Ovis aries: one gene and its partners. The protein of the gene in region 1 purifies or fractionates together with the protein of each later gene. This does not show direct contact. Links are inferred from orthologs where the notes say so. Each region holds a gene or a part of one and is shown on either strand. Other genes may lie near its edges.

What was found.
Region 2: the proteins of NFKB2 (region 1) and CHUK purify together in Homo sapiens (affinity purification with western blotting; 4 studies listed by BioGRID and IntAct, with this or other methods). This does not show direct contact. The link is inferred for Ovis aries from reciprocal best matches to the Homo sapiens genes NFKB2 and CHUK.
Region 3: the proteins of NFKB2 (region 1) and NFKBIB purify together in Homo sapiens (affinity purification with mass spectrometry; 4 studies listed by BioGRID and IntAct, counting the BioPlex papers as one, with this or other methods). This does not show direct contact. The link is inferred for Ovis aries from reciprocal best matches to the Homo sapiens genes NFKB2 and NFKBIB.

What each region holds. Positions count from the first base shown.
Region 1 is NC_056075.1:22,789,651-22,799,700, reverse strand, and holds NFKB2 (nuclear factor NF-kappa-B p100 subunit), read right to left. Parts: upstream 9,709-10,050; 5' UTR 9,592-9,708; exon of another isoform or gene 8,275-9,591; intron 8,246-8,274; exon of another isoform or gene 8,057-8,245; 5' UTR 7,985-8,056; coding exon 7,964-7,984; intron 7,682-7,963; coding exon 7,600-7,681; intron 7,464-7,599; coding exon 7,423-7,463; intron 7,173-7,422; coding exon 7,074-7,172; intron 6,995-7,073; coding exon 6,843-6,994; intron 6,579-6,842; coding exon 6,472-6,578; intron 6,384-6,471; coding exon 6,225-6,383; intron 5,952-6,224; coding exon 5,847-5,951; intron 5,764-5,846; coding exon 5,660-5,763; intron 5,584-5,659; coding exon 5,445-5,583; intron 5,211-5,444; coding exon 5,082-5,210; intron 4,955-5,081; coding exon 4,745-4,954; intron 4,666-4,744; coding exon 4,524-4,665; intron 4,169-4,523; coding exon 4,054-4,168; intron 3,965-4,053; coding exon 3,751-3,964; intron 3,598-3,750; coding exon 3,428-3,597; intron 3,313-3,427; coding exon 3,210-3,312; intron 3,082-3,209; and 11 more. Other genes in the region: PSD (PH and SEC7 domain-containing protein 1), read left to right, coding at 196-339, 808-1,038. UniProt on the Homo sapiens protein: NF-kappa-B is a pleiotropic transcription factor present in almost all cell types and is the endpoint of a series of signal transduction events that are initiated by a vast array of stimuli related to many biological processes such as inflammation, immunity, differentiation, cell growth, tumorigenesis and apoptosis.
Region 2 is NC_056075.1:20,888,734-20,899,536, forward strand, and holds part of CHUK (inhibitor of nuclear factor kappa-B kinase subunit alpha), read right to left. Parts: intron 9,105-10,803; coding exon 8,981-9,104; intron 8,591-8,980; coding exon 8,439-8,590; intron 6,850-8,438; coding exon 6,788-6,849; intron 5,536-6,787; coding exon 5,426-5,535; intron 4,601-5,425; coding exon 4,551-4,600; intron 1-4,550.
Region 3 is NC_056067.1:47,977,086-47,987,988, forward strand, and holds the start of NFKBIB (NF-kappa-B inhibitor beta), read left to right. Parts: upstream 1-6,353; 5' UTR 6,354-6,418; coding exon 6,419-6,597; intron 6,598-8,825; exon of another isoform or gene 8,826-8,898; intron 8,899-10,903. Other genes in the region: SIRT2 (NAD-dependent protein deacetylase sirtuin-2), read right to left, coding at 1,598-1,711, 1,975-2,023, 5,084-5,130, 5,965-5,980. UniProt on the Homo sapiens protein: Inhibits NF-kappa-B by complexing with and trapping it in the cytoplasm.

The DNA of each region.
Region 1 (10,050 bases):
CGCACTCGAGGCTGCTGCCTATGATGTGGCTGTCCACTGCACCAGGATGTGGGGGGCCATGAGGCTCAAATCCAGTCAGTTAACCCAGACACCAGGTGCTTTGTTCATCCAGAGGAAGGGGCACCTTTCCAAAAACCTTGCACAAAGGCACTGTCTCTGCCAGAGTAACCCTGATCATGCTCCCCTGGCCCCTAGGAGGAGCAGGTGCGGACCCATGAGGCCAAGCTGAAGGCCATGGCAAGTGAGCTGAGGGAGCATCGGGCCACGCAACTGGCCAAGAAGGCCCGGGGCAAGGAGGCTGAAGAGCAGCGGCAGAAGGAGGCATATCTGGAGTTTGAGGTAAGCTCCCAGCCCAGGCACCTCTTGCTCCCTCAGGGCCTCTATGTCCCATGCACAGGCTCAGACACGTGGTTAAGGGCATGGCTCAGAGTGGGACTATCTGGGTGACCCTGGGCGGGCAGCTTTCTTGCCATGAGCCTCAGTTTCCTCTCAAGTGACACAGGGAGGACAGTAGTCTGTCCCCACTAGGGTGATGAAAGGAGCCGATTTCTGCCAAGGGCTCCAGTTTGCTGACTCTGGTAAAGGCTCCAGGAACACGAGGTGTTACAGCTGGCAGTCTACAGAGTCCAGAGAACGGCACCAGAACACCCAGGGGTGTGAGTGGTCACAGTCAGTCCTTGGGGGCTTCAGGGGCCCCAGAGGTTGGCGAGAACCTGGTATCTCCTAGCCTTCTTTGCCTCCCTGCTCCAGATGGGGTGGGCTGGGCAGAGGGGCACGAGCAGGCTCACCGCTGCCCTTCTGCCTCAGAAATCCCGCTACGGCACATACGCAGCGCTGCTTCGGGTCAAGCTGAAGGCAGGCAGCGAGGAGCTGGATGCGGTGGAGGCAGCAGTGGCCCAGACTGGCGGCACGCAGGATGGACTCCCCCCTCCTCACTCCAGTCCCTCCCTGCTGCCCAACACCTCCAGCCAGCCCCGGGCACAGTGTCCTGACTCAGAGGCTCGGGCAGGGGCAGGCAGTGGGCGGTGGAAGCCCTGAGCTGGGGGTGGGAGTGGGGGGGCGGTGCCCACTGGGCACCTGCATGACACGGCCCTGCCTAAGCCCGGGCCGGCCTCGGGCCACCTGTGAGGGCCTCTCGGTCCAGGGCCTGACCGCGCCGGACGCGGTGTCCGGGGCAGGGCAGGGCTAGGGCATGGGCCTCAGGAGCCTTAGGCTAAGGGCCCCTCTGAGACCCCTTTTTTGTGATAATGTTTTGCACTTTTTCGTACAGGGGATGGGGGTGGGAGGGGCCAGGCCCCCTGGACTCTTGATGCTCCTTTTTTTTTTTTTTTTTTTTTGTGGGGGAGACCTGACGTTTCTGCTTTCTGCTGAGACCACCCCCACCCCTGACACCAGCAGTCCCCCTCCATCCTGGGGCCTGGCTCAGACACAAGCCAGGAGTTGGGGTTGAGCTGGTTTCCCTCCTTTTGCCCTGAGGGCTCACCCTCTCCCTTGCCAGAGGAGGAGGATGGATGTCCAAGCTGAGGCCCCGTGCACAGGCCAGGCAGTGCAGCCTTGCTTCCCTCCTTCAGTGGGCCCTGCCCTTTGTGTCACCTCCACCTCCATTAAAACTGCTCTCGACTTGCTGGCTGGGCCTCCTCCTCTCTCCCGTGCCTGGCCTGAGGCCAGGGTAGGCATTTGCTTCCCGAGGACAAGCGTCACACACATCAGGGGCTGCTGTAAGTTGGGGAGGAGGCCAGGCCCCCTCCCTTTCCCATGAGAATCTTTTATTTGCCCCAACTGAAGGGTGGGCATGGGGTGTTAAATAAGAACTGGAACAGGCAGGGTCACTGTACAGAGGGGGCCCGGAAGGGGCTGGTGGGTAGGGAGCGGTTCAGTGCACCTGAGGCTGGGGGCGCCCGTGGCAGAGCCCTCCTGGCGGCTCAGGGGGTGGGCCCAGCTTCTCTGTTTCCTGTTCCACCGACTGGCTCCCATAGGCACTGTCCTCCTTCACCTCTGCTGGGGGAGTGGACGCGGGAAAGGGTGCAGGGAAGCGTCAGGCCTTAGGCCTCCCACCCTCCAAGCCCAGATCCACCTCTCAGTTACGGCCCCTTTACCTGTGCTGGGCAGCTTTTCCTGGGTCTCTGGACCCTTCAGCAGCCTCACCCCCTCCTCCAGGCCCATGTCAGACAGGGCATTCAGCAGGCCTGCCAAGTCGCCACCAGCCAGCTGAGGAGAAGGAGGAGGCATGAACCAGGAGTTGTGGTTAGGGTGTGGGATCCCTGAGGAAGCGCCAGAGATCTGAGACTGGGGCATGGAGCATGGGCCGGGGCCTGACTGACCTGGTAACTGCGCAGGAGGCTGCCACTGGGCGAGGCTGTCCTTCGATACGTGTCCACCAGACTGCGCAGCCCCAGCCGTTCTGCCAGCTCCGCCCAGCTGCCCTGGGCTCCTGGCCCGTCAAGCAAATGCTCCAGGTTCTGTAGGACTGTATCTTCAAGGGGTATCTCTGGCCCTGAAGGGGACACACACATAAACATGTTAGTTACCCCCAGAGATGGCAAAGACAAGACACCCAAATGTCACCTTTATCTCAAGGCAACCTGATAGATAGTGCAGGCGGGGCCACTGGGGCAGTGGATGGAGGATGGGGATGGAGAAAGGGAGACCTCCTTCAGTGGTCCCGAAGGATAAGAGACCGCTGTGAGCAGGGGTCAAGGGTCTGGCAGTGGTGGGGGAGAGCTCTTCACCTGCAGGGCTGGGCGGGGTCAGCGGCGGCGCCATGGTGTCCTGAGCAGCGTTTAGCAGCAAGGTCTTCACCTAGGGAGACAGCTTCAGCCATGACTACCTCCCATCACAGTACTTGACCCCAGGTACCAGCTACTCAGGACCCCATGTACAAGCCCGGATGCCCCATCCCCTGGTACTGCTAGTCCTGGGCTGGCCTCACCTTGCTACTGCGAGTGAGGTCAAGAGGTGTGTGGCCCCGGAAGCTGCCTCGAGTGTCCCTCTCAGGGCTCTCAGAATCTGAGTCACTACCAGAGGTGGGAGGCGAAGGCAGTGGGCACAGGGGCTCCTCGTTCTCTGCGTGGACGTCAGCACCTGGGGGAGGGAGATAGTCACAGGGAGGCTCCCTCGGAGCCCACGTTAAGGACTGCAAAGTGCGGGATTGGGAGGTACCCCCTTTCCCCCGTCAGCCCTGTTCATAAGCCCCCGAGGGTGGGACTGACCAGCCTTCAGAAGGAGGCGGGTGAGGGTTGGGGATCCCAGTCCAGCTGCCAGATGTAGGGGTGTGTTTCCCGCAAAGGTTCGGGCATTCACGTTGGCCCGGAGCTGTGGGGTGCGAGGGAGGGGTTGATCATAGCACTGACTGATCCACTGGGCCTCCCCCGACACCTTCACCGTCCCCAGCCCTTGGCTCTACGTCTTCCACAGTCCTCAGTCCCACCTTGGTAACGAGATGGGTGACCAACCCCAGCTCCTCCATCTCTGTGGCTAGATGCAGGGCTGTCCGGCCCCCCTGACGCTCTGCAGCCTCCACTTCAGCCCCATTCTCCACCAGCAGATCGAGGCACTCGGGGCTTCGGGCACGGACTGCCAGGTGGACTGGGTATAGCCCTAGTGATACAGGGTATTCAGCCCGCAGCTCTGCCCCTAATGTGAGCCCTTGACCAGCTGACCTCCACACCTCACATCCACTGTAGGCGCTCCCCAGATCCTCTCCCTGGTGCCCACTCTTGCCCGCTGGTTCAGATGAGGTGATGAACTCACCTTCGAAGTCGGGCACATGCAGCAGTTGGGGCATGGCAGGAACCCCACTCCGCAGCAGGGTGCACAGCATGTCGGGGGCGCTGGCACCTGCCCGGAGTGCCAGGTGCACTGCTGAGTCTCCATGCCGATCCAGCAGTGCTGGGTCTGCGCCCACCTGCAGCAGGAAGCTCACCACCTTCGTCTGCCCTGTGATCACTGCCAGGTGCAGGGGCGTCTGGGGAAGGCAGGCAGGGTGAGCCAGGCCTGCTCCTTGCCTCACCTATCTGACTTCCAACCCCTCCCCCTCACCAAGAGACCCCTCACCTGGTGCAAATGATTGGTGATATTAACCACGCCGAGGTGTGGGGCGTGGTAGATGACGTGAGCTATTTGCTCAATGACGGTGGTCTGCCCGTGGATGATGGCCAAGTGCAGCGGCCTAGGGATTGGTGGGTGAGACTCTGGCCTAGGAAGCTCAGCAACTCGTTTTGCTTTACTCTCAAAACTCCACCACCTCCATAATCTCCCTCTCTCCAGCCCACGAAAGTAAATCCTTCCGCGCACCTTTTGTGGTAAGTGCGTACTATTACTGTGCCCCTTAATCGACAAAACTGAAGTCTACAGAGATTTAAGTATCTTGAACAGAACTAGAGCGTAGCGAGGCCGAACTTGAAACTGGGTCTCCCTAACTCCGGAGCCCTGGCTCTATAGGTCCCTTCCCTGCTCCACACCCCACGACCTTGCACCGGTGGCGTGCGGAACCCTGGTCCCCGCCCGCTCTCCCGCCCACCTACGTGTCTCCGTTCTCATCCTGTGCCGTCAGCAGGTGGCGCTGTCCCGCCAGCAGCGAGCGCGCGTCCGCCGTGACGCCGTAGTCCAGCAAGGCTCGAGCGCTGCGCTGCGCCAGGCCGAACAGCCGTGCGTTGTACTCCCGGGCTGGGGGTGACAGGGGGCGTGGGTGTGGGCTAGGTCCCCACCCGCAGCGTCCCGACCGCTGGGATTCCCGAGGTCATACCTCGATGCAGCAGCTCCGGGGCTTGCTGTTCGCGCTCGGGCGTCCCGGGGGGCGCGCTCGGCTCTGCTGCTTCCTCCCCAGCATCCACACTAGGCGTCTCGGCGGCCATCTGGGCCCCACCCCCTCCTCCCGGGTAGCAGCCCATGGGGGCCGCGCCCGACTGGTAGGGGCTGTAGGCCAAGGAGGAGGGGAAAAAGCCGAGGCTGCCACCTGTGGATACAGGCAGAACTGTGGGCAGAGGGCACCAGGAGGACTCTCCCAGATTTCTTCTCCACAACTTTTCTCCCCTTTATCCCATCCTCCTCCATTGCCCTTCCTGCCACCAGCACCACCTCACCTCCTCCTCCAGCTCCTCCATAACCCCCAGCCGAGCCCCCAGAGCCTCCACCCATGTGGGAGCCACCCCCAAAGGGCTGGGAGAAGGTGGGCAAGGCTTTCCTCCGCTTCCGCTGCACCTCCTCCTTGTCTAGGGGCAGAGGGAAATGAGATGTTAAAACCCCAACTCGCACCAGCCTCAAGAGCCCTGTCCCACTCTGGTAATGGCCTTTCCCCCAAAAGCCCTCAGGCTGGCTCCTAGGGCCACCTCTTTCTGGGACATTCCCTACTCCTGATTTCACTCATGAGTCCCCTGATCTAGTTCTTGAGACCTCCAGTCAAGCCCTGGCCTCCAGCCCCCCTGGGATCTTCAGCCCAGCTCCACCTTCTACCAGAGGATAATAGGTGAACTGTTTGGAGTCAGAGACATCCCCCCCACGCTTGCGTTTCAGTTGCAGGAACACGGTTACAGGACGCTCAATCTTCATCTTGTGATAGGGAGGTGTCCGGAACACAATGGCATACTGGAGGAAGGAGGACATAGGTGTCATTAAGGCCTTACTTAATTTGAGCCCAGACCCAGCCCTGGCCCTAGGGTACCTGTTTGTGAACATCTGTGGGAGAGAAGTCCCCAAAGGCTTGCCATCCATTCTCATCATCCTCGTAGAACCGAACCTCGATGTCATCTACAGGGAAAACTGAATCTATAGGGCCATTTGTCCTGAAGCTGTGTTGCTCCCCAAGCTTGATGCCCATCACTAGCTCCCAGCCTGGGCTCCAGCCTCACCTTTCTGCACCTTGTCACAGAGCAGATAAACCTCATCTCCACCCCGCACAGAGCCAGCTGTCTTGTCCATTCGAGAAATCTTCAGGTTTGAGGCTCCAGGAGACTCTGGAGATGGCATATCAGTTACTTGAAATGATTCAATAGCCATGGTCCCAACTAGGGAGCCAGGTGCTTTGTATTTTAACAACCGCAAGAGACACAGGAACTGCCAGTATCTTCATTTACTCAGAGAGGGGACGTGACTTGCTCAAGATCACTCAGTTCATACATGGTGGGCCCAAGTTCAAACCCAAGCGTATCTGACTCCACAGTTCGAGGCTGCCCTCCACACTCCCTGTGGCACCCAGACCCAGCACCCCAGGTGGTCAGGATACTCACTGCTGTCATGTATGGGCTGGGAGATAACTGGCTTCAGGGGCAGAGAGAAGGAGCCATCACTGGCTCGAAGGAAGGCAGAAAAGCGCAGTCGCACAATGCTCAGATCCATCACCTTCTTCAGTTCCTTGGCCTCCTGCTCCAACTCTCGACGCTCAGCCTCTGGGCAGTGGGCATACATGTGACCCCTGGACTCCTCCTCTATTCCTTCCATGACCACCTCCCATGACTCCCTCCATATCCCCCATACCCGTAAGGCCCTGGGGCCTGGAGCGAAGACGCTGCCTCTGAAGTTTTTGTATCATAATCTCCATCATGTTCTTTTTAGTCACATGGAGGACACCCAGGTTGTTAAATCTGTGTGGGGGCAGGGAGAAGTCAGAGGCCTTGCGGGCAGTTCTTTCCTCCTGAGGCACCCTACCCACCGGCAAGGCTCGGCCCTGCTCTACTTCCTCTAGGAAGCTTTTCTAGTTTTTACTTGGGGCCCTGGGTTCTGGGGCCAACCAGAGTCTTTCCCCTTGGTCAGATGCTAAGCTCACAAAGGTGGGCTGGGACCTAGGACTGGCAAGCAATGAGGGGCACACCAGTGGGGACCAGAGGTAGGGGGCACCGGACACCTACTGGGCAGTCATGTCCTTGGGCCCCACAGACACTGCGCAGACCCCCAGCTCCGAGCACTGTTTGCCCACCAGACTGTGAGCATGGGCACGAGGTGGGTCACTGTGTGTTACCAGGTCCACCTCAATCTTGGCAGGTCCCTCGTAGTTACAGATCTGTGAAGGGTGAGGGCTGTCAGTAATGCCCATGGACACACTGTCCACTAGCCCACCCTCCAGCACCACCCTGGCTCACCTTGACCGTGGGATAAGTCTTCCGGCCCTTCTCGCTAGAGGCACCTGGCAGTCCTCCATGGGAAGGGCCTTCACAGCCATATCGAAATCGGAAGCCTCGCTGAAGGTGCCAGGGCAGAGTGACATTGTGACCAGGAGAAACATCCCCCCTCACCAGCCACATCCCCAGCCAGCAGTGACCATAATGACTGGACGTATGTATCCTGAATCACCACCAGGCCACTGTGATCAGCAGCTGCTAACAATCCCAACCCGAAGTGGGTCTGTGATCAGTTACCCTGCCCGTGGCCACCCAGCTACAACTGTCCCACTTGCCCCCAAAATTGAAGCCATCCCTTCTACTTGCTCACCTGCTTAGGCTGTTCCACAATCACCAGGTAGGGACCATCAGCTGGGGACAGAGGAGCCTTGCTGAGCCAGGACCTCTGAGCCCATTCCCAAGACAGAGGGCACACACACCACATGCTCCTCCCTCCTCCTCCCTCCCGCTCCCTCCAAGACAAGGGCAGGTCAGGGGACTTATTAACCTGTCTCTGGGGCTGGCTCCTTGGGCTCCACAATGGACGGGTTGAATTTGAAATCATCATATTCAATGATGCCATCCAGACCCTGGTATGGAGACAGACTGAGATGGCAGCTGATTCTGAGCCACCCCCAGAACCCTCCACCTCTCAGCTCTCTAAACCATTAGCAATCACCCCCTCTCCTAGGCAGGCCCATAAAAAAGCTCCTACTGAAACCAGTTTGCAGAGACTGACTTACAGGCAGGGTGAAATAATCTGAGGACATTAGAGGTGCAAGGGAGTAGAAGGGACTAGGACAGGCAGGCAGACAAGCAGACAGGCACAGGGGGGCAGCCGGCAGGCTTTGAGGCCAGGCGGCGTGACTCACTGGGTCGTAGCAACTGTCCATGACTCTGGGCTAGGCCCGGCTCTGTCCGGTGGCTTCGGCCGGGTTCTGTTTCCCAGAGTTTCAGGCGCCCGCCTTAGGTGGGGAGGAGTGGCGGGTGTAGGGAGAGATAGATCAGGACGGGAGTTGGGGGGAGAGAGGGGCCCAAATTTAGGGGAGGGTCCGATCTCCTCCAGCTACCCGTCCGGGTGTGGCGGGCAGGATCCGGTGGAGGGCGAGATCCGGAGTTGGGCTGGGCCAGGCCGGGGAAGGGGCAGGAAAGTTAGAACAGCTTAGGAAAGTCCCGAAAATACCAGGGGGAGGCGGGGCCAGGGGGCGGGCCTGGAAATGACGCCACTGACCACGCCCCCGGGCGGGAGGGGCGCGAGGTCGTCTCTTCGCTGGCCGGAGAGCGCCTGCAGCGTCTCTGCAAGCAGAGGGGCAATCAAACCCAGGGAAGGCCCCGCGGGGTTGGGGGGGCACCCCCCTCCTCTCTCCAGGCCGGCGCCGGGGACTGGGGGTCTTTCAAGGCCGGAGGAAGCTCCTAGTCCGGGGACCGGCCCCCCCGCCTTCCCCCTCCTGGAGCAACCTTGGGATTTTCTACCCTCAGGGAGGCCACGGCTGATTCACCCCGGGGGGTTTTGGGGGGACATTCCTGCTGTAGGAAGGCCTCCACCCCGAAGGCCTGTAGGTGGGGGCTCTTCCGAGTAGAGGGCCCCGGGGTTCTGTCCCGAGAAGCAGTCTCTGAGGCCAAGGGGCCGGAGGGGGTGTTGGGATGGGCACCTCCATTCCCTCTTCCCGAAAATCTCAACAGTCGTTGATTCCCACACCGCACCTGCTTTGGGTGCCCCGCCCCCGCCCCTGTCCCATGGCCGTATGTAACACTTGTACAGGTGTCTAATATGTTTCAGCCCATGTGCTTGCGCATTGTGTGCATGGCGTGGACATGCGTGTACAGGTGAGAGTCCTTAAGCTTATTAGTGTGGACACATGTCAGCGTGTATCTGAGGGCACAGGGGAACCTGTCGTTGAGTTTCTGCGTGGAGGGTGTGTGTCCAGGCACCTGTGCACGGGTGAGTGTGTTTTGCGTATGCATGTATGTGCGAGTCTGAATGCATGGGCGATCCTGTGCACCTGCGGCATACGTGTAGATGGACGTACGGCCCATATCTTTGTACAGGATATCGATGTGTATCCGCATGTCCTGTTCGTATGCGCGCTCTCTGAATGCGCAGATGCCGCTCTTCAGCTCTAAGGCTCGGTCAGCTAAGGACCCTCCTCCCGCCCTTGCCGGTGTCCCACCACCCAGGGGTCTGAACCCGGCCACTCACCGCGGCGGTGGCTCCGGTTCAGGATTCTCTCCCGGCCGGACCCACCTCGGACGGGTCGCGACACCTCTCCCACCACCAGGACTCCAGCCGGGAAAGCCCCTTTTCCGCCCCCGGGAGGGGGGAATTCCCGTGACGTTTCCGTGCGTCACTCGCCATGCCCTTTTTCATTGGCTGAAAGTTTAACTCCTGGACTTACACAGCCAATCGGGAGTGACTCAGGGGCGCCCCTTGGAGGAGAAATATTTGTGTAGCTCTGGAAGCCAGAGTGAGAATGACCCTCAGACAGGCACTAGCTCTAACCTGGGGACCACCCCGCTGCGGGATCCGCTGACCGAGCGCCATTCCCCAGCCGAGGCACCTGGCTCCGGTCTCCTCACACCCAGGCCTGTCCAAGCCGGCTGGCAGCCCCTGCTGCTACTCGGTTTTATGCTGCGCCTAATGCTCGGCCACCTCTGAAGTCGGGGAACCCCAGGGGGAAGCTGATATGCCTCAGCCCCTCTGGTCCCGCCCGGAGCGGGGCCCGGCTGCCGGGAAGACTTAGAGGAAGAGGAAGGAAGTTAATCTTGCAGTAGGTTCTAGAGTGCCATCTGGTGGCCCCTCTGGAGCCTCAAGGAGACTCCATAATCCTCTGTCTTCCCGGGAAGAAAGTGTCTGGACCTGAAACTTGTTTTGTAAATGACAGGTTAACAGCTGGCCAGACTTTCAGACCTGAGCTCAGGAGGTCTTCCGAGGATAAGGGAAAGGAGGTATTTATCTGGG
Region 2 (10,803 bases), about 1.9 Mb from region 1:
TGAAGGATAATATCTTGCACATACATAATACTCTATAGTTTTCAAGCACTTTCACAAACATCCTGTCATATATAATGCCATATATAGTCACTGAGTTAGGAAAGTTAGATTCCTACCCCATTTTGCAGAAGAGGGAAATGAGATACCAGGAAAAAAAGTTATTTGCTCAATAAAGTGCCCAATTTAGAATTAAAGCCTTCTAATTCTCAATCCAGGTGCTTCCCTGGTGGCTGAGCTGTAAAGAATTCTCCAGTAATGCAGGAGACTTAGGAGACATGGGTTCAGTCCCTGGGTTGGAAGATCCCCTGGAAGAGGAAATGGAAACCCAGTCCAGTATTCATTCTGGAAAAATCCCATGAACCAAAGGATCATGGTGGGCTATAGTCTGTGGGGTCAAAAAGAGTTGGACACGACTGAACATGCATGCAATCCTCAATCCAGTGCACTTACCATGAGAACATGCTCTGTATTCAGCAGATGTTCAACAGAAATGAACAGTTTTGTCATGAAATAAGCAACCAGTGACCAGGTGCAGAGGAAGGCATTATCTTCAAAGTATACTGTTTTGGCCTAGCATATGGGCATCCCTCTGACGATTCCACATCTGAACCCACAGCCTCAAATTATTTCCAATCTCTTTAACTTTAAGCAGCATTTCTTTCTTTTTTTTTTTTACTTTACATCTTTCCACACATTTTCTTGCTTCCTCTTTTCCTTATTCTGAGTTCCTTTTTTCTCTTTCATTCCTTCCTTTCACTTTCCTTTAAAATTTTCTCTATTTCAAAATAAACAACTGGGACCTAATTAAACTTAAAAGCTTTTGCACAGCAAAAAACATAAACTATAAACATAAACGAGGTGAAACTATAAACAAGGTGAAAAGACAACCCTCAGAATGGGAAAAAGTAATAGCAAATGAAACAACTGACGAAAGACTAATTTCAAAAATATATAGGCAGCTCATACAAATCAATACTAGAACCTAATCAAAAAATGGGCAAAAGACCTAAAGAGGCATTTCTCCAAAGAAGACATATAGATGGCTAATAAACACATGAAAAGATGCTCAACATCTCTCATTATTCAGTTCAGTTGCTCAGTCGTGTCCGACTCTGTGACCATATGAATCGCAGCACACGAGGCCTCCCTGTCCATCACCAACTCCCGGAGTTCACTCAAACTCATGTCCATCGAGTTGGTGATGCCATCCAGCCATCTCATCCTCTGTCGTCCCCTTCTCCTCCTGCCCCCAATCCCTCCCAGCATCAGAGTCTTTTCCAACGAGTCAACTCTTCGCATGAGGTGGCCAAAGTACTGGAGTTTCAGCTTTAGCATCAGTCCTTCCAATGAACACCCAGGACTGATCTCCTTTAGGATGGACTGGTTGAATCTCCTTGCGGTCAAAGGGACTCTCTCAAGAGTCTTCTCCAACACCACAGTTCAAAAGCATCAATACTTTGGCGCTCAGCTTTCTTCACAGTCCAACTCTCACATCCATACATGACCACTGGAAAAATCATAGCCTTGACTAGATGGACCTTTGTTGGCAAAGTAATATCTCTGCTTTTCAATATGCTATCTAGGTTGGTCATAATTCTTCTTCCAAGGAGTAAGCATCTTTTAATTTCATTGCTGCAATCACCATCTGCAGTGATTTTGGAGCCCAGAAAAATAAAGTCTGACACTGTTTCCCCATCTATTTCCCATGAAGTGATGGAACCAGATGCCATGATCTTTGTTTTCTGAATGTTGAGCTTTAAGCCAACTTTTTCACTCTCCTCTTTCACTTTCATCAAGAGGATTTTAAGTTCCTCTTCACTTTCTGCCATAAGGGGACTTTTCATTATAGGGGACTGAAATACAAAAGTAGGAAGTCAAGAAACACCTGGAGTAACAGGCAAGTTTGGCCTTGGAGTATGGAATGAAGCAGGGCAAAGGCTAATAGAGTTTTGCCAAGAGCACGCATTCGTCATAGCAAACACTCTCTTCCAACAACACAAGAGAAGACTCTACACATGGACATCACCAGATGGTCAACACCGAAATCAGATTGACTATATTCTTTGCACCCAAAGCTGGAGAAGTTCTATACAGTCAGCAAAAACAAGACCGGGAGCTGACTGTGGCTCAGATCATGAACTCCTTATTGCCAAATTCAGACTTAAATTGAAATATCGCTCATTATTAGGGAAATGCAAATCAAAACTTCAATGAGATATCACCTTACTCTGGTCAGAATGGCCATCATCAAAAAATTGAGAAACAATAAATGCTGGAGAGGGTATGGAGAAAAGGGAACCCCCTTGCACTGCTGGTGGGAATGCAAATTGATACTGCTACCATGGAGAACAGTATGGAGATTCCTTATAAAACGAGGAGTAAAACCACCATATGACCCAGCAATTCCACTACTAGGCATGTACCCTGAGGAAATCAAAATGAAAAGGACATATGTAACCCATGTTCACTGCAGCTATTTATAATAGCTAGGACATGGAAGCAACCCAACATCCATTGACAGATGAATGGATAAAGAAGCTGTGGTGTATATACACAATGGAATATTACTCAGCCATAAAAAGGAACACATTTGAGTCAGTCCCAATGAGGTAGATGAACCTAGAGCCCATTATACAGAGTGAATTAAGTCAGAAAGAGAAAACAATTAACATACACTAACACATATATCTACTTCTGCTTTACTGACTATGCTAAAGCCTTTGACTGTGTGGATCACACAAACTGTGGAAAATTCTTTAAGATGGGAATACTAGACCACCTGACCTGCCTCTTGAGAAATCTGTATGCAGGTCAAGAAGCAACAGTTAGAACTGGATACAGAACAGACTGGTTCAAAACTGGGAAAGGAGTACATAACGGCTGTATATTGTCACCCTACTTATTTAACTTATGTGCAGAGTACATCATAAGAAATGCTAGAATTAAGACTGCCAGGAGAAATATCAATAACCTCAGATATACAGATGACACCACCCTTATGGCAGAAAGTGAAGAAGAACTAAAGAACCTCTTGATGAAAGTGAAAGAGGAGAGTGAAAAAGTTGGCTTAAAACTCAACATTCAGGAAATTAAGATCATGGCATCTGGTCCCACCACTTCATGGCAAATAGATGGGGAAACAATGGAAACAGTGACAGACTTTATTTTGGGGGGCTCCAAAGTCACTGCAGATGGTGACTGCAGCCATATTAAAAGATGCTTGCTCCCTGGAAGAAAAGTTATGACCAACCTAGACAGCTTATTAAAAAGCAGAGACATTATGTCAACAAAGGTCCATCTAGTCAAAGCTCTGGTTTTTCCAGTAGTCATGTACAGATGTGAGAGTTGGACTATAAAGAAGGCTGAGCACCAAAGAATTGATGCTTTTGAACTGTGGTGCTGGAGAAGATGAGATCCAACCAGTCTATCCTAAAGGAAATCAGTTCTGAATATTCATTGGAAGGACTGATGCTGAAGCTGAAACTCTAATACTTTGGCCACCTGATGTGAAGAGCTGACTCATCTGAAAAGACCCTGATGCTGGGAAAGATCGAAGGCACAAGGAGAAGGGGACGACAGAGGATGAGATGGTGGGATGGCATCACCAACTCAATGGACCTGAGTCTGAGTAAACTCTAGGAGTTGGTGATGGACAGGGAGGCCTGGCGTGCTGCAGTCCATGTTGCACAGAGTCAGACATGACTGAGCAACTGAACTGAAATGAACACATATATATGGAATATAGAAAGATGGTACTACAAAACCTATTTGCAAAGCAGCAATGGAGACACAGACATTATGAACAGACTTATGGACATGGCTAGGGTGGCAGGGGGGATGCGGAGAAGGAGTGGGTGGAGGGTATGGAGAGAGTAACATGGAAATATACATTACCATATGTAAAATAGATAACCAATGGGAATTTGCTGTATGACTCAGGAACTCAAACCAAAGCTCAGTAACAACCTAGAGAGGTTGGATGGGGAGGGAGGTGGGAGGGATGTTCAAGTGGGAGGGGACATGGGTAAGCCTATGGCTGTTTCATTTTAATGTCTGGTAGAAACCAATGCAATACTGTAAAGCAATTATCCTTCAATTAAAAATAAATATATTAAAAACTTTTCTATTTCAAACTTTATTACTTTGCCTTCCTAATTTCTTAAATTCTCACAGACTTAAATGCTGTTGTACTATAAACATCTCAATGTGAAGCTGAAGTGTTAGTCGCTCAATCATGTCTGACTCTTTGCCACCCCATGGACTGTAGCCTGCCAGGTTCCTCTGTCCATGGAATTCTCCAGGCAAGAATACTAGAGTAGTTTGCCATTCCCTTCTCCAGGGGAACTTCGTGACCCAGGGACTGAACCCAGGTCTCCTGCATTGCAAGCAGATTCTTTACCAACTGAGCCACTAGGGAAGCCCCTAAACATCTCAATGGCAATACCAAAACTGGAATTGATTCTGCAGCTTGCTTAAAATCCAGTTTCACAGATTTGTTAAGCTAGTGATGGTTTCCTAAAACACCTTTGTGTACTGTGAAAGTGTCTTACCTGAAGGTCTGTGCTTTAACTGCTTATATAGATCAATTGCACGCTGTTCCCTATGAAAGAGAAAACATGTTCTAAACATGAAGATAGTTTAACGACTTTTTATTTCCAACTTGAAATGAACAATATTATTTGAATAGAGTAACGACCCTATTTTCAAGTAATTATATATTGCCAACGAATATTTTACAGGGTGTTTCGCTGGGTAATAAGCAAGATCTTAAGATGCAAAGTTTAATATACTAAGTATCTGCTCTGATCTACCATCACTTATATAGTATCTCTGCACCAGAAACACTTAAATGGGAAAAAAATTATGTCCTGTGATTAAAGAAAAAAAAATCTGAAGTTTCTAATCCAAACACTTAGGACGTTAACCTTATTTAGGGAATTTAATAAATGATACCTTCCTTAAACCAGAAGTGTGGTAAGTAGGGAAATAGTTTGAACTTAAAATACTTGAAAAATTAGTAACACTCACATGAAAAGATGCTTCGGTTTAAAAAGCAAAGGTCATGGAAAAGAATTTGAAAAAGAATAGGTGTATATATATATATATATATATATATATATATATATGGGTGAGTCCCTTTGCTATATACTTGAAACTAATCACAACACTGTTAATCAACTATAATATAACCCCAATATAAAATAAAAAGTTTTTTTAAAATAAATAGTAAACATCAACCCAAAGAGTTATTGCCAAAATTTCCTGTGATTAGGAAAAAACTTCCTTTTTAAATATGATGCCAATGTATTTGTGGAAAGAAAACTATAGAAAAGAACCACATATAATCTTCCAGAAATACAATGAAAGAATAATCTGCTACCAAAAATTACAGACACCAACACTAACAACATGACTTCACCCTTACAGAGATTCCATCAAGTCTCCCTGACGTCGTCCGTAGGGGCTCTTCTGTAGCTCCATGATTTCAGTGTGCAGGGACATGATTTGATCCTCCAGGTATCCAATGACACCCACCTAAAATATGATGAAACACAAAAGAAATGACAGGCTCACCACCACACAATATGAGGAACTCAGAGAATAACTTCTTACAGTAACAGAACAAAGTGATTTAATGTAAAACACTGATTTTGTTCAAGTCTGTTTGTCTCTCAGATTATGGCATGTAACTTTCATATGAGAACCAACTTATTTCAGGCTTCTCTCCTGACAACAGTAGACTACTAGCATTTTCTTTCTCCTCCTGAGAAGGAAAAAGACAGAAGTGTCACTAATAAGTAAAAGTGACTATCAATACCACTGCATCTTGGTTCTACAATTTTCAGTGTCTCTTGTTCCCAACTTGAATAAGGATGCAGAAAGATAAAGACACTGGATTTCCCAACCCAGGATACCAACTGCCACACTCATTCCTCAGGAAGTGCTGGCATCAAGGAGAGCAACAATTTAACGGGACCACAGACAGATGTACCAGGTAAAGAAGGAATCTGCCACCTATAGTGTGACCATAAAAAATTTATTGTCCAAACCAGCAAAATTTTGAGAGTATTATTGATAATAAAGGCTTCCCTGATAGCTCAGTTGGTAAAGAATCTGCCTGCAATGCAGGAGACCCTGGTTCAATTCCTGGTGGGAAAATCCCCTGGAGAAGGGATAGGTTATCCACTCCAGTATTCTTGGGCTTCCCTTGTGGCTCAGCTGGTAAAGAATCCTCCTGCAGTGTGGGAGACCTGGGTTCAATCCCTGGGTTGGGAAGATCCCCTGGAGAAGGGAAAGGCTACCCACCCCAGTATTCTGGCCTGGAGAATTCCATGGACTGTATAGTCCAGGAGTCACAAAGAGTCGGACACGACTGAGCGTTTTTCACTTAACTAACTTAACTAATTGATAATTAAGGCAAGAGAGGTAAACGAAAACTGTCCCGAGTAAACCAGGATGTGTCCAGCCATCCTATCAAAACCAGTCTTAAAAATAACAGTGATAACTACCATTTATTAGTCACTCCCACTTAAATCTGTATAACCCCACTAAAAAAGGTCCCCATAATATAACATGGAAACTGAGGCTCAGTGAGGCTTCATTTTAGTCTCATTTACCCAAAGCTCTTGTTTTTATCCACTGTGGTACTTCCCTCTACATACACATACTAGGTATCTGTCTGATATTCAGGAATGATATGAGAAATACTCTACAAACCAAAACCAAAGAATTTCTAAGGGAGACCTCAGGAGTTAATAAGCACACAGAATGAGCTCAGTGATTTTACCTCAGCATAGTGGATAGCCTTTTCTTCCATTTCTTTCCAAGCTTTTAACATTTTTTCTGAGGCTAAAAAAAAAAGTCTTAATTGGTTATCTCAGAAATAGCCATAGGTTTAATTACTGACCTACCCATCTCCTTGCCATATTAACATCAAAAACAGAGTTATGAGTTGAATTGTTCCCCCAAAAGATGGTGAAGCCCTAACCTTGTACTTCAGAATTTGACCTTATTTGGAAATAGCATCAGGTGCAATTAGCTAAATTAAGGTTGAGTCTTAACCTAGTATGACTAGTGTCCTTTTAAGAAAAGAAGAAGAAACACAGCAACAGACATATGAACGGGAAAGCGCCATTTCACAACAGAGGCAGAGACTAAAGTGCCACAGCTGCAAGCCAAGGAATGCCAGAAGAATCTAAGGAAGGATTCTTCTCCATAGGTTTCAGAGAGAGCATGGCCCTGACAACACATCGATTTTAGACTTTAAGCCTCTGAAACTGTGAGATAATAAATTTATATTGTTTTAAGTCACCCAGTTCATCGCAATTTGTTATGGCAACCCTGGGAAACTAATACAGATGACTTTCTCTTAATAAAAAATAAAAAAATTTTAAAGTAATACATGAACATGGTATTTTTAAAAAATCAAACACTATATAGAGATATAGAAGTCTCCTCCCCTCCACTCTCCACTTTCTGCGATCCCAGTGTTAATCATTTCTTACAGCGACACATCTCCTTTTCTCCCATAAATAGAATCATCTCTATATACTTTTCCTTCCTTGCTTTTTCCTCCAGCTTAAAGCACTGCTGCCTTAAAGATCAAGTGATCTTTTAATATCAGCACACAGAGGTCTACCTCACTCTTTTTAAACAGTAGTCTAAGATATACAACTTAGTAAGATAAGTCAAAGAAAATCTGATGAAATAACTATGTTTTGCTATTCATCAGAATGCCTATAATACACAAACAGAAATAAAATATCAATCATAGAACCAGCTTTGGTAAGAAAACTTATTTACCCAGCTGGACACTGTTGATCATTTAATTCTGAAATATACACACCTTGCTCAAGATAAGTATACAAACAGAAATGCTGAAGGCAACTCTTTTGGTTTATTATTTGAATTTTAACTCTGCTTTTTACATTTCCTTAGTACATCTGAAGGGAGATAAGCTTAGAATTAAATACCAAAACATTGGAGGCTATGTACAATAAAAAACAATGGGACTCCACAGTAGGTTGTTTAGAAACTTTAAAAAAAAACCCTGAAATTGCATGTATTATTATTTATAGAAGGGTAAGTAATTTAAGACATCCCAGGCTAAGAAGTCACCCTAATACAGACTTTGTATCTATTTTTTAAATGAGGTTTGACAATCAAATTCTTAAATCATTTTGCATTTTTCTAAAGGCGAGCAATTTTAGTCCAATTGTGGGGGTGAGGGGTGGGCAGAGTAAAGCTGCTCAACTAAATGTTAAAAAAAAAAAACAACTAATATTCAAACCAAATACAGTTTACAATAATATGAGATGTCCTATCTTTTGTTCTAATATGAATGCAAGTGAAACAACTGGCTAACAGGTAAGAAGGTAACATAGCAGATGGCTTCAAGAGACAAGACACTTGTTTCAAATACATTATCCAACACTTACATATCCCGTACGTCATCTGCTCACTATATCTTTCCAAGTCAAGCTGAATGCTTTTGTGAAAAAACTCCAATTTTGCTTTCAGTTGCTGAGATGCTGAGATCAAAGTGTTTTTCATTTTTGTCAAGTTAGTATTGTATCTAAGAAGGCTTAACCTAAACCACAGCAAGAAAAAAACAAGATATAAGCATTTTACAAAAGTTTAAAAACTCGAACTGCCATAAGCCCAAAGCCTATGTTCCTATTATCAATCTATGAGAAACAGCTTATCTCTAGAATCTCATCTCTAAAGAATTTCTGCTTGTGATACTCTATGATAAAACAATCTTCTTATACTAGGACCATTCAGGAACTACTGTTAGTCTACTGCAATTGGATGGTTTCAGACTGTTAATAAGAATTCTACATGCCTCATCAGAATATTACATTACAAACCGGCCCAGTAATATATTTTTGCATGGGATATTGACTAGGGAAAAGTAGCAAAATTTAATTGAGCATGAATGCACATGACACTGTGCCTATAAACAAGACAATTCACTTACATGGCTGCTCTCTGTCCCTGAAAGAGCCTGCTGTAGTCTTCTTTCAGCCCAGACACATAGTGTACTGCTTCAGCCCAAACTTTACGCAACTGGATAATTGGAAGCTGTATTTTGCTGTCCTGTACTATGTGTAAGAAGATGGAGGAAAGGAGACGGGAATTACTTTTTAAGATTCTAGTGTTCATTTATTATTCTTTGTGATTTTCTGTCCATACAAATATTCCTATAGATGCTAGAAACCAGATGCTAGAAAGAACCACTTGTTACAGTTCCATTCAGTCAGTGTAACTTTATTGAACACCTGCACATTACTTGAGTCCTGTTCCAGATACAAGGGGAAATAAAAATGAAGACATAATTACTACATAATCACAAAGCTTACAATTATTCCTGTATCTGTCTTTTTCTTCCTTGTTTCTCTCCAATCCGGAATCCTCTTTTTTTTTCCCTCTCCAATAATCCAAATTATTTATTCTTTTGAAGTGCTAAACTAAGTCCCAAGTACTCTACAATCTGCTATAGTCTTTTTTGCTTCTGAATAACAAATTTCATCTCTTGAACTACCAACCCAGCTTCAGAAAAACACACTGGGTAAATATGCCTTTAACAATATGCCTTTAAAAATATGCCTTAAAAGATATGCCTTTCTCAATGCAAGACTTATGAAATTATCTATTTATGATAATCTCTTGTGTTTTCTTAGGTAAAGGGGATGTTTCTTTCTAAAACCATGGCAGGTAGATAATAAGTTCAATGAAATTTCATTTTAACATTATAAAATTCTCCAAGATTGAAGAGAGATTCATCTCGTACTTTAAGGTGGTGATTATATTCTGTTATTCTTTTCCAATGAAAATCTTCAGAGACAGGGCACTACAATAGGTTTCACATTGAGAAAACACATTATCTGAAACAGATGTCAAACAAATAAAGCTGTGTATATGGAAAAATCTTTGCCTCCCCTAATAATGATAAATAGCCTCAACTAACTTCTCTTCTATTTTTACATACCCACACTTAATCCTGAGGCTTCCTCTGACAGACCAAACAAACAAAACAAAATAAAAACTCACACACTTAAAAAAAGATAGTCTAGGGGAAGAGAGTCTAGAAAAAAATTATATATTAAAAAAAAAAGTCTGAAAGTGCCCAGAAATGATACCCCAGTAGCAAGAAGCATACCAAGTATCCAAATTTTGATTTCTAATGCTGTTCTCAATTAAAGGAACCAGGGCTCCTTGGAGAAATGGCCAATTCTAGGACTATGGTAGAAAATTTAAAAGATGCGCCTGGAATACTACATGGTACCAGAAAGTAAGGAAATGCTTAAAAAAACAAAAGCAAAAACAAAAACACCCTCACTGATGGGTCAAGTAGAAGAGGCATAGGAAGTCAAGTGAAAGAGCTTCTAAGGTAAGCTGCAACAATTTAAATAACAAAATAAACTAGTATTGGATTATAATCTATAATATAAAATAAATATCCATGAATTCAAATTTATATCATAAATGATTAAATAAATTAATAAATGGGAGAGAAGAGATAATTCATGTAAGCAGAAGCATTTTCAATAAATTATATAGACATTCTACCCTAAAGGAGGAGGCATGTAACTCCTACTCCTTAAGTGTGGATTCTTGCACAGTGATTTCCTTCCACAGAGTATTGAAAGGAGGAGAGGGTAAGACTAAACTTTACAGTGAAGAAAGCTGACTACTTCAAGGTAGTGAGCAAGGTAACACTAACAGTCGTTAATCATGTTTATAGTATGTACCGTTTATATAATGTTTTCAAAATGGCACTTGAATTCTTTGATCTTTCTC
Region 3 (10,903 bases), on another chromosome or scaffold:
GACCAGGCCTGGCAGACCCAGTGGAAGGGAGTGAGTGTGCACTCTCGCCAGCTGTGTAACCTGCCCCAGGTTACAACCTCTCTGTGTCTCAGTTTCCCCTTCTGCCCAGCCGACTCCTCACAGGTCTCCTGTGAAGACCATATGAGGGGACACCTCCCAAGTGCACAGCCCAGTGCCTGGCAAAAGGGGAGAGCCCAATTCATTGTCATTATTTATTACTATCCCCTCACAGGCACCATCAATTATTCTAAAACCCAGGTGCAGGAGGACGGGCGGAATGAAAGCTTTATAGCCACTGCCTGTATTCTCTTTGGGGCCCACCCAAGCCAGAAGATGGGGCTTCCTGAGTAGCTCTGTGGTAAAGAATCCACCTGCCAACGTGGGCGATGAGGGTTTGATCCCTGGGTCAGGAAGATCCCCTGGAGAAGGAAAGGGCAACTGACTCCAATATTCTTGCCTGGGAAATCCTATAGACAGAGGAGCCTGGCAGGCTACAATCTGTGGCATTACAAGAGAGTCAGACATAATTTGACTAAATGACAACAACAAAGGCAGGAGATGGATGAAGGCCATCAGGGTGAGGACCCCCAGGAGAGGGGGGCTCAGTGTCCGGCCTGGCTGCCTGTGGAGAGATGGCAGCAGCCAGAGGACAGGGAAACTGCAGGAGACGTCCTCAACAGAAGGCTGTTCAGGACCCTCAAAGGGTCGATTGTTCTAGTCAAGGACTGCTTAGGGCTCGGTTTCTCAGACTCTGGTGACCTCAACTCGAGGCAAGAAATACAAATTACCCGGTGACCTGGTAAAAAGATCTCTACACCACACCCGGAACAAGCCTCTTATAAGAATCGTCACGGGGCACACTTAGGCAACACTTGCTCTGTTTCAGGCATTTACATCTATGAATTTATGTAATCCTTCTTTATAATCCTGGGGCTTCCCCAGTGGCTCAGACAGTAAAGAGTCTGCCTGCAACGCAGGAGATAAGGGTTTGATCCCTGGCTCAGGAAGATCCCCTGGAGAAGAGCATGGCAACCCACTCCAGTATTCCTGCCCGGAGAATCTCATGGCCAGAGGAGCCTGGCAGGCTACAGTCCATGTGGTCCCAAAGAGAAGGGAGGGAGCCATGGGGATCCCTGGGGGAAGAGTCTATTCCATAATCTTATAAGGTAACTACTATTATTATCATCTTCACTCTAATAAGCAAACCTGACCAATAGAGACATGGTGATTGGTTCGGCGAGTAGGACTGTGACCCAAGCTGGGCCAATAGGAGCCAATCTCTGCTCTTGTGCTTGAACCACTGGGAGAAAGATGCTGTTTTTCAGTGGGAGCTGCTAGGCTGGTGGAACTTGTTTTCACAGCTTCCAGGAGCTCCCAATACAGAGAAGAGCCGAGAAAGGGCTCAGCATAGAAGTTGCTGAATCCAGCCACACTTCAGGATCAACAGTTACAGGATCAACACACTCCCTTTTTGGCACCAGACAGTTTGAGTTGGGTTTCTTGTGACTTGCAGATGTAAGCTGTGAATGGTTTGGGGCTGAGAAGTCATGAGAAGCGGCGGGGTCACGCAGGAAGGGGCCCAGGGCGGGGAACTCACAGCGCTCGCTCTGCATGTAGCGGCTCACTCCTTCCAGGGTTAGTTCGTCTAGGAGTCGCTCCTTCTGGGTGCCCAGGCCCAGAGTCTGGGAGAAGAAATTCCGCAGGAAGTCCACTGCCCAAAGAGAAGAGAGACAGCGGTTGGGTGGGTGTTTGTTCAAGGGGACACAGAGGCCCTGAGTGCCCCTGCCCAGCCCTGGGGTCTCCTGTCTTCCCACGACTAAAGGTTGGATGCCTGGCCAGGCCAGGGATCCTGAAACGCTGCATCTGTTCTTACACACTTTGCATGTCACCCCCGGTGGAGGTGAACACCCGGATCCCTGCCTTAAACTGCCCTCCAGCACCCCCCAGAACCGTGCTCCCAAGGCAGATACTCACTCTCTGCTTCTCCGCCAGCGGCTCCTGCCTCAGTGTCTGAATCTGAATCCTGGAAGGGGTGGAGGTGGGGTGATGAGGCCCCAGAAGTGGGGTTAGGGAGGGGAAGAGGGGATGACACCAGGGTTCCGGGGAAAGGCTGTGGCTGGGAGGTGGGCCCGAGGGAGTGAAGGGCAGCGGGGAGCGTGCTGGGGGCGCGTGTGGGCTATGGGACAGGCCGCCTGTGTTGGAAATCCAACTCTGCAACTCGAGAGGAGCGCGGCCTCCTGTGGGTGACTGCGTTTTTCCTGAGACTCCGCGCTCCTCCTCTCACAAGTGGAGCTGGAGGACTGAGGAAGGCCACCTGGAGGGCTGTGAGAAGTGAGTTCCTATGTGAGGCTCTCAGAACAGCCCTGGTTGGGGGCAGCGGTGGTGGTGAGTGCTCAGGAAGTGCTTGTTACTGCTCTCATCACCTCCCATTGTCCACGTCCTCACCTCATATCCCCTCCAGTCCCCTGCCCTGCCCAGCCACCCCGCAGCCCGCATCACCTACGTCAATAATGCTGGTAGAAATGCCTCAGTCCTCACCCTGCGCCGTCAGCCCTCTGGCTTAAAGCCTCCCCACTCCACCTTTCCAACCCTTCCGTCTCCTTTATCAACTCCTCTCCTCGGCCAGGCGCCCAAATCGCGGGTCTGGGACTCTGTCCCAGGCCCTCCCTCCCGTCTCTGTCCGCCTTCCCTGGGCCAGCTCCCCCATGCACGCCAGTGGTCTCAGCCTAGTTTCTGAGGATGCCACCTTTCTGTCTCCAGATCCAGGGTTTCTGCAGCCCCCAGATGCCTCCCCTAAGTGTGACCCCAGACCCCTCGCTCTCACGGTGTCCCAGACTGGCCTCAGTATCTCTTCCAAACTTGCTCCTCCTCCTGGGGCCCTAACTCAGTGTGGCTTCTGTCCCCGTGTTTGCCAGATGTCTCCTGCCTCCCTCACCAGCCCTCCTGCCATAGCATGTCCCCTCCCCGGAGCTCCACGTGGGCCAGCCTGTCCCTCCAGGGGCCCTGCCCCGGCCTCCGCCCTAGCTCCCAGTCTCAGTCTCCATCTCTGATCGACTCTCCTCCTCTCTCTGTGTTGACCTGTCTGGGTCCACCCTTTGCCCTCCACGTCAAAGACCTTTCTCTTTGGCTTCCCCAGTTTAATCATCGGATCACAAACATCTGTGGCATTTACCATGATGCCCGCTCCAAGAAGTCTGGGATTTTTCATGGTCACCACTGGGTAAAAATGTTTGAAGTCCCTCAGTCGTGTCTGATTCTTTGCAACCCCATGGACTGTAGCCCGCCAGGCTCCTCTGTCCATAGGATTCTCCAGGCAAGAATATTGGAGTGGGTTGCCATGCCCTTCTCCAGGGTATCTTCCCAACCCAGGTCTCCCACATTGCAGGCAGATTCTTTACTGTCTGAGCCACCAGGAAAGCCAGGTTTCCTTGCTTTAAGATTGTATCTATAAGCTTTACAAAACTCTGACCATTAGGCAATGTATAACTTGAAGGTGCTTGCCTCCTGAGTCCTTCACCCACAGCCCCGCCTCCCCCACCCCATCCTCCCCTTCAAGATAGCCACTATTAACAGTACAATGGTAACTACTCCAGATTTCTTTCTCTGAATTGGCGATGGACAGGGAAGCCCGGCATGCTGTAGTCCATGGAGTCGCAGAGAGTTGGACACGACTGAGCGACTGAACTGAACTGAAAACTCATTATTTCCCCAGAAATGGGTCACCCCATAGTACAATGCTGCGCCTCGCATTTTCCACCAAACAATATATCACGGACCCGCCAGCTACAGAGTGTTGCATTGTACGGTTCATAGTTCATTTAACCCATCAACTGACAGTCGTTTGGGCTGTTTCCAGTTTGGCTGTATTGCACAATGCTGCAATTTACACCCTCGGATCTCTCTCTTTGGGACTGAAGGTCCCTTTTCCACATGAAACCTTTTTCTCTGACAGTGGCCAGGCTTTGGGAGCTAGCCGAGGGAGAAGCCTGGCCTGACAGGGAGCTCTTGTCCCCTTGGTGTGGCTCGGCCGTGCATCTGTGGGGCGCTCTCGTCACAGCTTCTGCTCTGCCCTACATGTGAACTGCGACCTCGTGTCTGTGGGTGGGCTGGCACGCTTTCAGGCTGCAGACAGAGAAGCTCTGTGGAAGGAGGCGAGGGCCCTGCCCAGCACGTGGGAGCAACTTGGTCTCAGGGGGAAGCTGAAGGTGATGGTGGAGCCTCTGTGACCCCTGCTTCCAGTGAAGTGTCTGGGAGGCAATATGTCAAGGCACCGAGGGTTGCAAACCTGTCCCTGCTCTTCTAGCCAATGGACAGAGGACAAGTTGTTAAAGAACTCAGTTTCCAATTCCTTGGCTATAAAATAACCACAGTAGACCTGTACTCCTCCCCTCCACCGCTGCCCCCAGGATGCTAGGATGCCCATCAAATAAGCAGAGTACTCAGTTGGCTTAAATACTCAGTAAGTGCTAACCATCAAGGTAATCAGCCACCTGAATCCTGAACGCATGACACTCTTTCATGCCCCCCAGGATACCCTCTGCCTGGGACACCACTTCTCACCTTACCTAAGAAAATCCTAAGTTACTCTCCACTGACTACCGTGTGCTGTATCTCAGTCTGACTCTGAGATCAGCCTGTGGACTCTTGCCGGGAAGGGATTGGCTGGAATCTGTGTGATCTCACACGGTTTACTCTGCGCTCCCAGAGTGCCCTGCGCTACTTTCATGATCACCAGTAGAGTCAGTGTCGAGTCACACGTCTGTGAGATCTGTGAATTCAGGAGCCAAATCTCTTCCACGCCCACTGGGAACGAGGTTCAGGAGGGAAGGTGGGTAGGAGGGGTGAGCAGGGAGAAAGGAAAGTTTGCAAGGGCAGGCCTAGGCTTGAGGCCGCACACCCTTCTCTGACAGGCCCCAGAACCCTCCATTCCCCCAGGAGCTAAACCACAAGGTGAGCCGGGGTGAGGAGCTGGGGCAGTGAGCTGAGGGCCCTGGGGTATCTGACTCCCCTCTGCCACCTCCCCCCAGTGTGGGGTGTGGGAAGTCCATCTCTCTCCTTCCCTCCACCCTTGTCCCCATCTCACCTGAGCCTCCTGCACCTTCCCTGCCTGGGTCTCCTCAGGGTCAGAGGCTGGGGGAGGAGGGGGAGCAGACGTGGTTACAGTGAAGGGATTGGTTAAGGGGGAATGAAGGGCTTCTAAGTCGGGGTAGAGAGGGGCAACAAGACCTCCAACCTAGTTATATGGGGTGGGGGTATCAAAAGGGAGTAGATGGAGGGAGGGAAAGGAAGAAAAGCAGATCTTATTAGAGTGGAGAGTGCTGGGAGGAGAGGTGGTTGGTGAAGGACAAAGAGGCTGGGACATGGAGGCTTAGGAAAGCGAAAAGAAAGTAAAGCATATAAGGGCATGAAGGAAGACTTAGGAGGAGTTAGGAAGGACACAGTAGTGTGTGAGTGTGTGCTGGGAGGGTTAGGTTTACAAGCAGAAGAAAATGTAGAAAGAAAGAGAAGATAAGGGATACTGGGGCTGGAGGCAAGTTTGCAAGAAGAGGTGGTGGGGGCGGAACGGAAGGGCGAGATGGCAGGTTTACAAGAGGAAGGAAGAGATAGGAGGGGACACCAGGGGTCCCCAGCACCCTACAGTTCCCACTAACAACCAGGTACCCTTAGCAACCCGGACAGCGGTATTCTAAGTCCCTAGTAACAAGGGTCCTTAGCAACTAAGGTGCGAGACACACGCTATCATTAGTCACTTAGGGGAAGTGGCAAACGGACCCTTAAAACCTCGAGACCCAGAAACCCACCAATCTATCCAGCAATATATATCACAACGGCTCCCTGAACCTCATTCCCCTCCATGCAGCCCCCATCTCCTGCCCCACCACTCCCGCCCTCGGGCCCCGGGGCCTGCAGCCCTCAGCCAGGCCCCGGCGCGGCCCGACCCTCCCACCAGGGCCCCCGACTCACGATCCGGATCGGCCATGGGCGCGGGGCGGGGGCCCTCGGGACTGTCACCGACTGCTCTATCCCGTGACGGCACCGGAAACAGGAGGGGGGCAGAGATAGGTCAAAGAACTACAACTCCCAGGAGGCATAGAAAAACGTCCGGAGCGTGCCCCTCTGAGGTAAGAAGAGACACGCGAGAGCCGGACTACGAATCCCAGAGTGCCTCGCGTCCGCAGCCATGTTGGTAAAGGGCGCGCGGAATGAGTGGGAAAGGGTAGAGAGTCGCAGTCCATCTGAATACTCTGATTGGTCACGGTGTAGTATGAGGGCGGGGCGCTTACTATTTAGCCGACTCTGATTGGATGAGTCCGGGGGGAGTGTTGGGGAATTCCCAGCAGGGCGGAAGCGCCAGAATTCCAGGCAGAGCCCAGCGACTGGCGGGCAGCCGCTGGGGTCCCCTGAGGCTTTGGGGGCTATGGCCGGGGTCGCGTGTTTGGGGAAAGCTGCGGACGCCGATGAATGGTGCGACAGCGGCCTGGGCTCTCTGGGTCCGGACGCGGCGGCCCCTGGAGGACCTGGGCTAGGCGCGGAGCTGGGCCCGGGGCTGTCGTGGGCGCCCCTCGTTTTCGGCTACGTCACTGAGGATGGCGACACGTGAGTGAACCTTAGCCTGCCACACCGAGCCTTAGGATGATCCCACATCTGATTCCCTGTTAGTCCCTGATACTGATTTTCCAACCTCTTAATCCTAAATCTGTCTTCTAATGCTTACTCTGACCTCTAACCCCCGAGTCTAACCCTTGATAAAATCAATTTCCAAGCTAGTTTTTATCATAACCCCGTCCTTTCTGAAACTTTGGCCCTCAGAGTTTCATATCCATTGACTAATTCCACATTCAAAACTCAATTTGAGCTTCCTGACCCCAGTCCTGAGACCTATCTTAAAACTATAGCTCACAGGCTCCTTCTGACATCTCACCTCCAAATATGATCTTTGATCCTTAGCTCCTAATTTAGGAGCTTTAAATTTTGATTTCCAAAATTAACATTTGGCTTTTGACTCTAAGATCTCCCACTTTCTGAGCACTGATCTTCAAATCCTACATTGAAAGAGAAAATGTAAACTCTATGACAGCAAGGATTCATCTGTTAAACAAGTATTTATCTAGCACCTACAGCGTTTCAGGCCCAGTTGTAGATGCTGGTGATAAAGCAGTGAAGAAAGCACAACAACTTATGCCTTGTGGAGCTTACGTTCTAGTGTGGGGGGTCTATAAATGGAAGGGCAGACAGACTGACAGGAAGGAAGAAAGGAACAGTAGGAGAAACAAAAAAGAAAGAGAGAAGGAAAGAAAGAAACAGAGAGCCGTATAGACACAAAGTAAGAAAGAGAGAGGAGAGAGAGAAGAAACAGGCAGAAAAACGAACGAAAGAAAAATGGTGTGTCAGAAGACAGGAATTTCCTTGGTGAAAAATAAAGCAGGAAAGAATGAGACAAGTAGATTATCTGGGGAGAGTATTCCAGGTAGAAGGAACGACGTCATAAAGACCTAATTGAGGGAATGTACCCGGGGTTTTTGTGTGTTGTGTTTACTGCCGTAGCCCCAGTGACAGAACGGTGTTTGACCCATAGGAGGCGCTCAAGAAACACCGGTCTTCCCAGAGAACCAGCTGTGCTTTCATTTATTTTCTCTCGTCTCTTTTTTTGCTTTCTGTTGTGTTTATCTCTGTTTTGACTTTCGTTATTTACTTTCTTCTGCTTACTTTGAGTTTATTTTTGTTCTTTTTCTAGTTTCTTAAGGTGAAAGCTGAGGTCATTGATTTGAGGCCTTCCTATTTTTCTAATATAGGATTCATGTGAATTTCCCGAAGTAGTGCGTGAGCTGTATCTCATCACTTCTAATGTGCTGTGCTTTCATTTCCACTTAATTCAGTATAGTTTCTAATTTCTCCTTTGATTTCTTCTTTGGGCGGTGGATTATTTAGGAGTATGTTATTTAGTTTCCAGATATTCCGAATACCTTCCTTTTATTGGTTTGTAGTTAAATTCTATTGTGTGTGCAGTTGAAAAGAATGTCTGGTATCTTGTTGTTGAGTGTAGTTCTCCAGATGTCAGTTAGAGGTTGTATGGGTTTCTTTTCTAAAACTTTTATTGATTTACTTTTGGCTGTGCTTCGTCTTTCTTGCTGCCCACGGACTTTCTCTAGTTGCGGTGTGAGGGCCTCTCATTTTGGTGGTTTCTCTTGTTGCGGAGCAGTGTCTCTAGGGCACAGGCGCAGTAGTTGCTTCGCGTTGGTTTAGTTTCCCCGAGGCATGTGGGATCTTCCCGGATTAAAGACTGAGCCTGTGTTCCCTACCTTGGCAGGTGGATTCTTTAGCACTAGACCTGTAAGTCCTGTGCTGGTTTCTTTGGTTCTTCTCTTTTCCAAGTCTATTATATCCTTGCTGGTAATTTCTCTCTACTTGATCTATCAGTTACTGAGAGTAAGGTATTGAAATCTTTAATAATAATTGTGGGTTTCCTTGTTGTTTTATCAGGTTTTCCTTCATGAGACTGGATGCTCTGTTATAAGGAGTGCAAATGTTTAGGTTTATTGTGTCCTCTTCCTGAACTGACCTCTTTATCATTGTGAAATAATCTGCACTATCCCAGGTAATATTCCTTGCTCTGAAATCTTACTCTTATTTTAAAACACTCCTACTTACTTTTGACTGACAGGCGTTAGTATGGTATATCTTTTTCCATCTTTTTATTCTTAACTTAGTTTTAAATTTATTTGAAAAGCTGTTACTTGTATAGTTAGGTTTTGCTTTTTAAAAAAAAATGTTTATTTTTAATTTATTTGGCTGCATCGGCTCTAGTTGCAGCATGTGGGATCTTGTTCCCTGACCAGGGATTGAACCCTGGCCCTCTGCATTGGAAGTGCAACGTCTTAACCACTAAACCATCAGGGAAGACCCTAGGTTTTGCTTTTTTATCCACTCTGACAGCTTCTCCTTTTTTAAAATTTGTGTTTATTTAGCTGTTTCTTTTTGGCTGCACTGGGTCTTGGTTGCTGCACACAGGCTTTGTCTAGTTGTGGCGAGCGGGGTATGCTCTCTAGCTGTGCTGTGCAGGCTTCGCATAGTGGTGGTCTCACTTGTTGGGGAGCACGGGCTCTAGAGCACACAGGCAGTTGTGGCACGTGGCGTTAGTTGCCCCACGGCATGTGGAATCTTCCCAGACCAGGGATCAAACCCATGCCCCCTGCCTGCCATTGCGTTGGCAGGCGGATTCTTAACCACTAGCCCACCAGGGAAGTCCAGTGTCTACCTTTTAATTGGAGTGTTTAGACTATTTGTATTTAATTAATTATTGATATGGTTATGTCTGTCATCTTGTTATTAGTTTTCTACTTATCTCTCCTTTGTTTACCTTTTTTTCCTGCCTTTTGGAATGAGCACATTTTGTTCCATTGTATTTGTTTTGTCGGCTTGTTACCTTTTACTCATTATTTTTTATTTTACTGGTTGCTGGGAAAGATAGGTTGGCAAACTGGTTTCCAGGCAAAATCCAGCCAGGCACCAGCTTTTGTATGGCTGTGAGCAAAGCATGGTTTTTTACATTTTTAACTGGTTGGAACAAAATCAAAAGAAGAACATTTCATGGCAAGTGAAAATTACATGAAATCCAAATTTTAGATTCCGTAAAGTAAGTTCTGTTAGAATCCCGCCGCGCCGCCCATTCATTTATCAATACATATCACCAATGGCTGCTTTTGTATGCTAATAGCAGAGCTGAATAGTAATAGACAGACCATAGCATCCACTAAGCCTGAATTATTTATCTGGCCCTTTACAGAAAATGTTTGCTGACTCCTGCTTTAGGGCTTCTCGTGGCCCGTGGGCTTAGTACACGCTCCCCAACCAGGGATCGAACCTGCGTCCCCTGCATCGCGCGGCAGATTCTTCACCACTGGGCCACCAGGGAAGCCCCCACTTTACCTTTATTATGTGCCACCTTCAAGTGCTGTTGTGCTCCTTCTCATAACATAAAAGAACCTTAGAATCGTGTGTTTCCATTTGTCTCTTCCTGGCCTGCAGTGTGTTGCTGTCACAGATTTCCTTTATCCATGTATTCTAAACTTCAGACGTTGTTACTTTTGCTTAAACACTCCTTTGTTTTTAAACCCTATCAGAAGATAGGAGATTTACATATTGAGAAAGAAAAAATCTTATGTACTTACGCATATAGTGACTGTTTTCAGGGTTCTTTATTTTGTTTTCCATATTTTCATTTGATGTCATTTTCCTTTTTGCTCACAAGTTTCCTTGAACGTTTCTTGTGATGTGGGTCGGCTGGTGATGAGTTCCTTCAACTTTTGTGTAGTGGAAAGCATGTATTTTTGTCTCTGTCTTTGAAAAATATGTTGGCTGGGTTAAAGAATTCTAGGTTGACAACCTGTCTTTGAGTACTTGAAAGAAGCGGCTGTGCTGTGTTCTCTTGCATTATTTCCTTTGTGAAATCTGCTGTCATGCTTATTTTTATTCCTCTGCACTTAAGGTATCTTTTCCTCTGACTGCTTTGAAGGTATTTACCTTTATTGTTGGTTTTGAACAGAGTTTCCATGTTGGGCCCTGGTGTGTGTGTGTGTGTGTGTGTGTGTGTGTGTGTGTGTACATGTTGGGCCCTGGTGTGTGTGTGTGTGTATGCATGTTGGGCCCTGGTGTGTGTGTGTGTGTGTGTGTGTGTGTGCATGCGCATGTTGGGCCCTGGTGTGTGTGTGTGTGTGTGTGTGTGTGTGTGTGCTAAGTCGCTTCCGCTGTACCTGCCTCTTTGCGACCCTATGGACTATGGCCCACCAGGCTCTTCTGTCCGTGGGATTCTCCAGGCAAGAACCCTGGAGTGGGTTGCCATGCCCTCCTCCAGGAGATCTTCTGACCCAGGGATCAGACTTGTGTCTCCTGCGACTCCTGCATT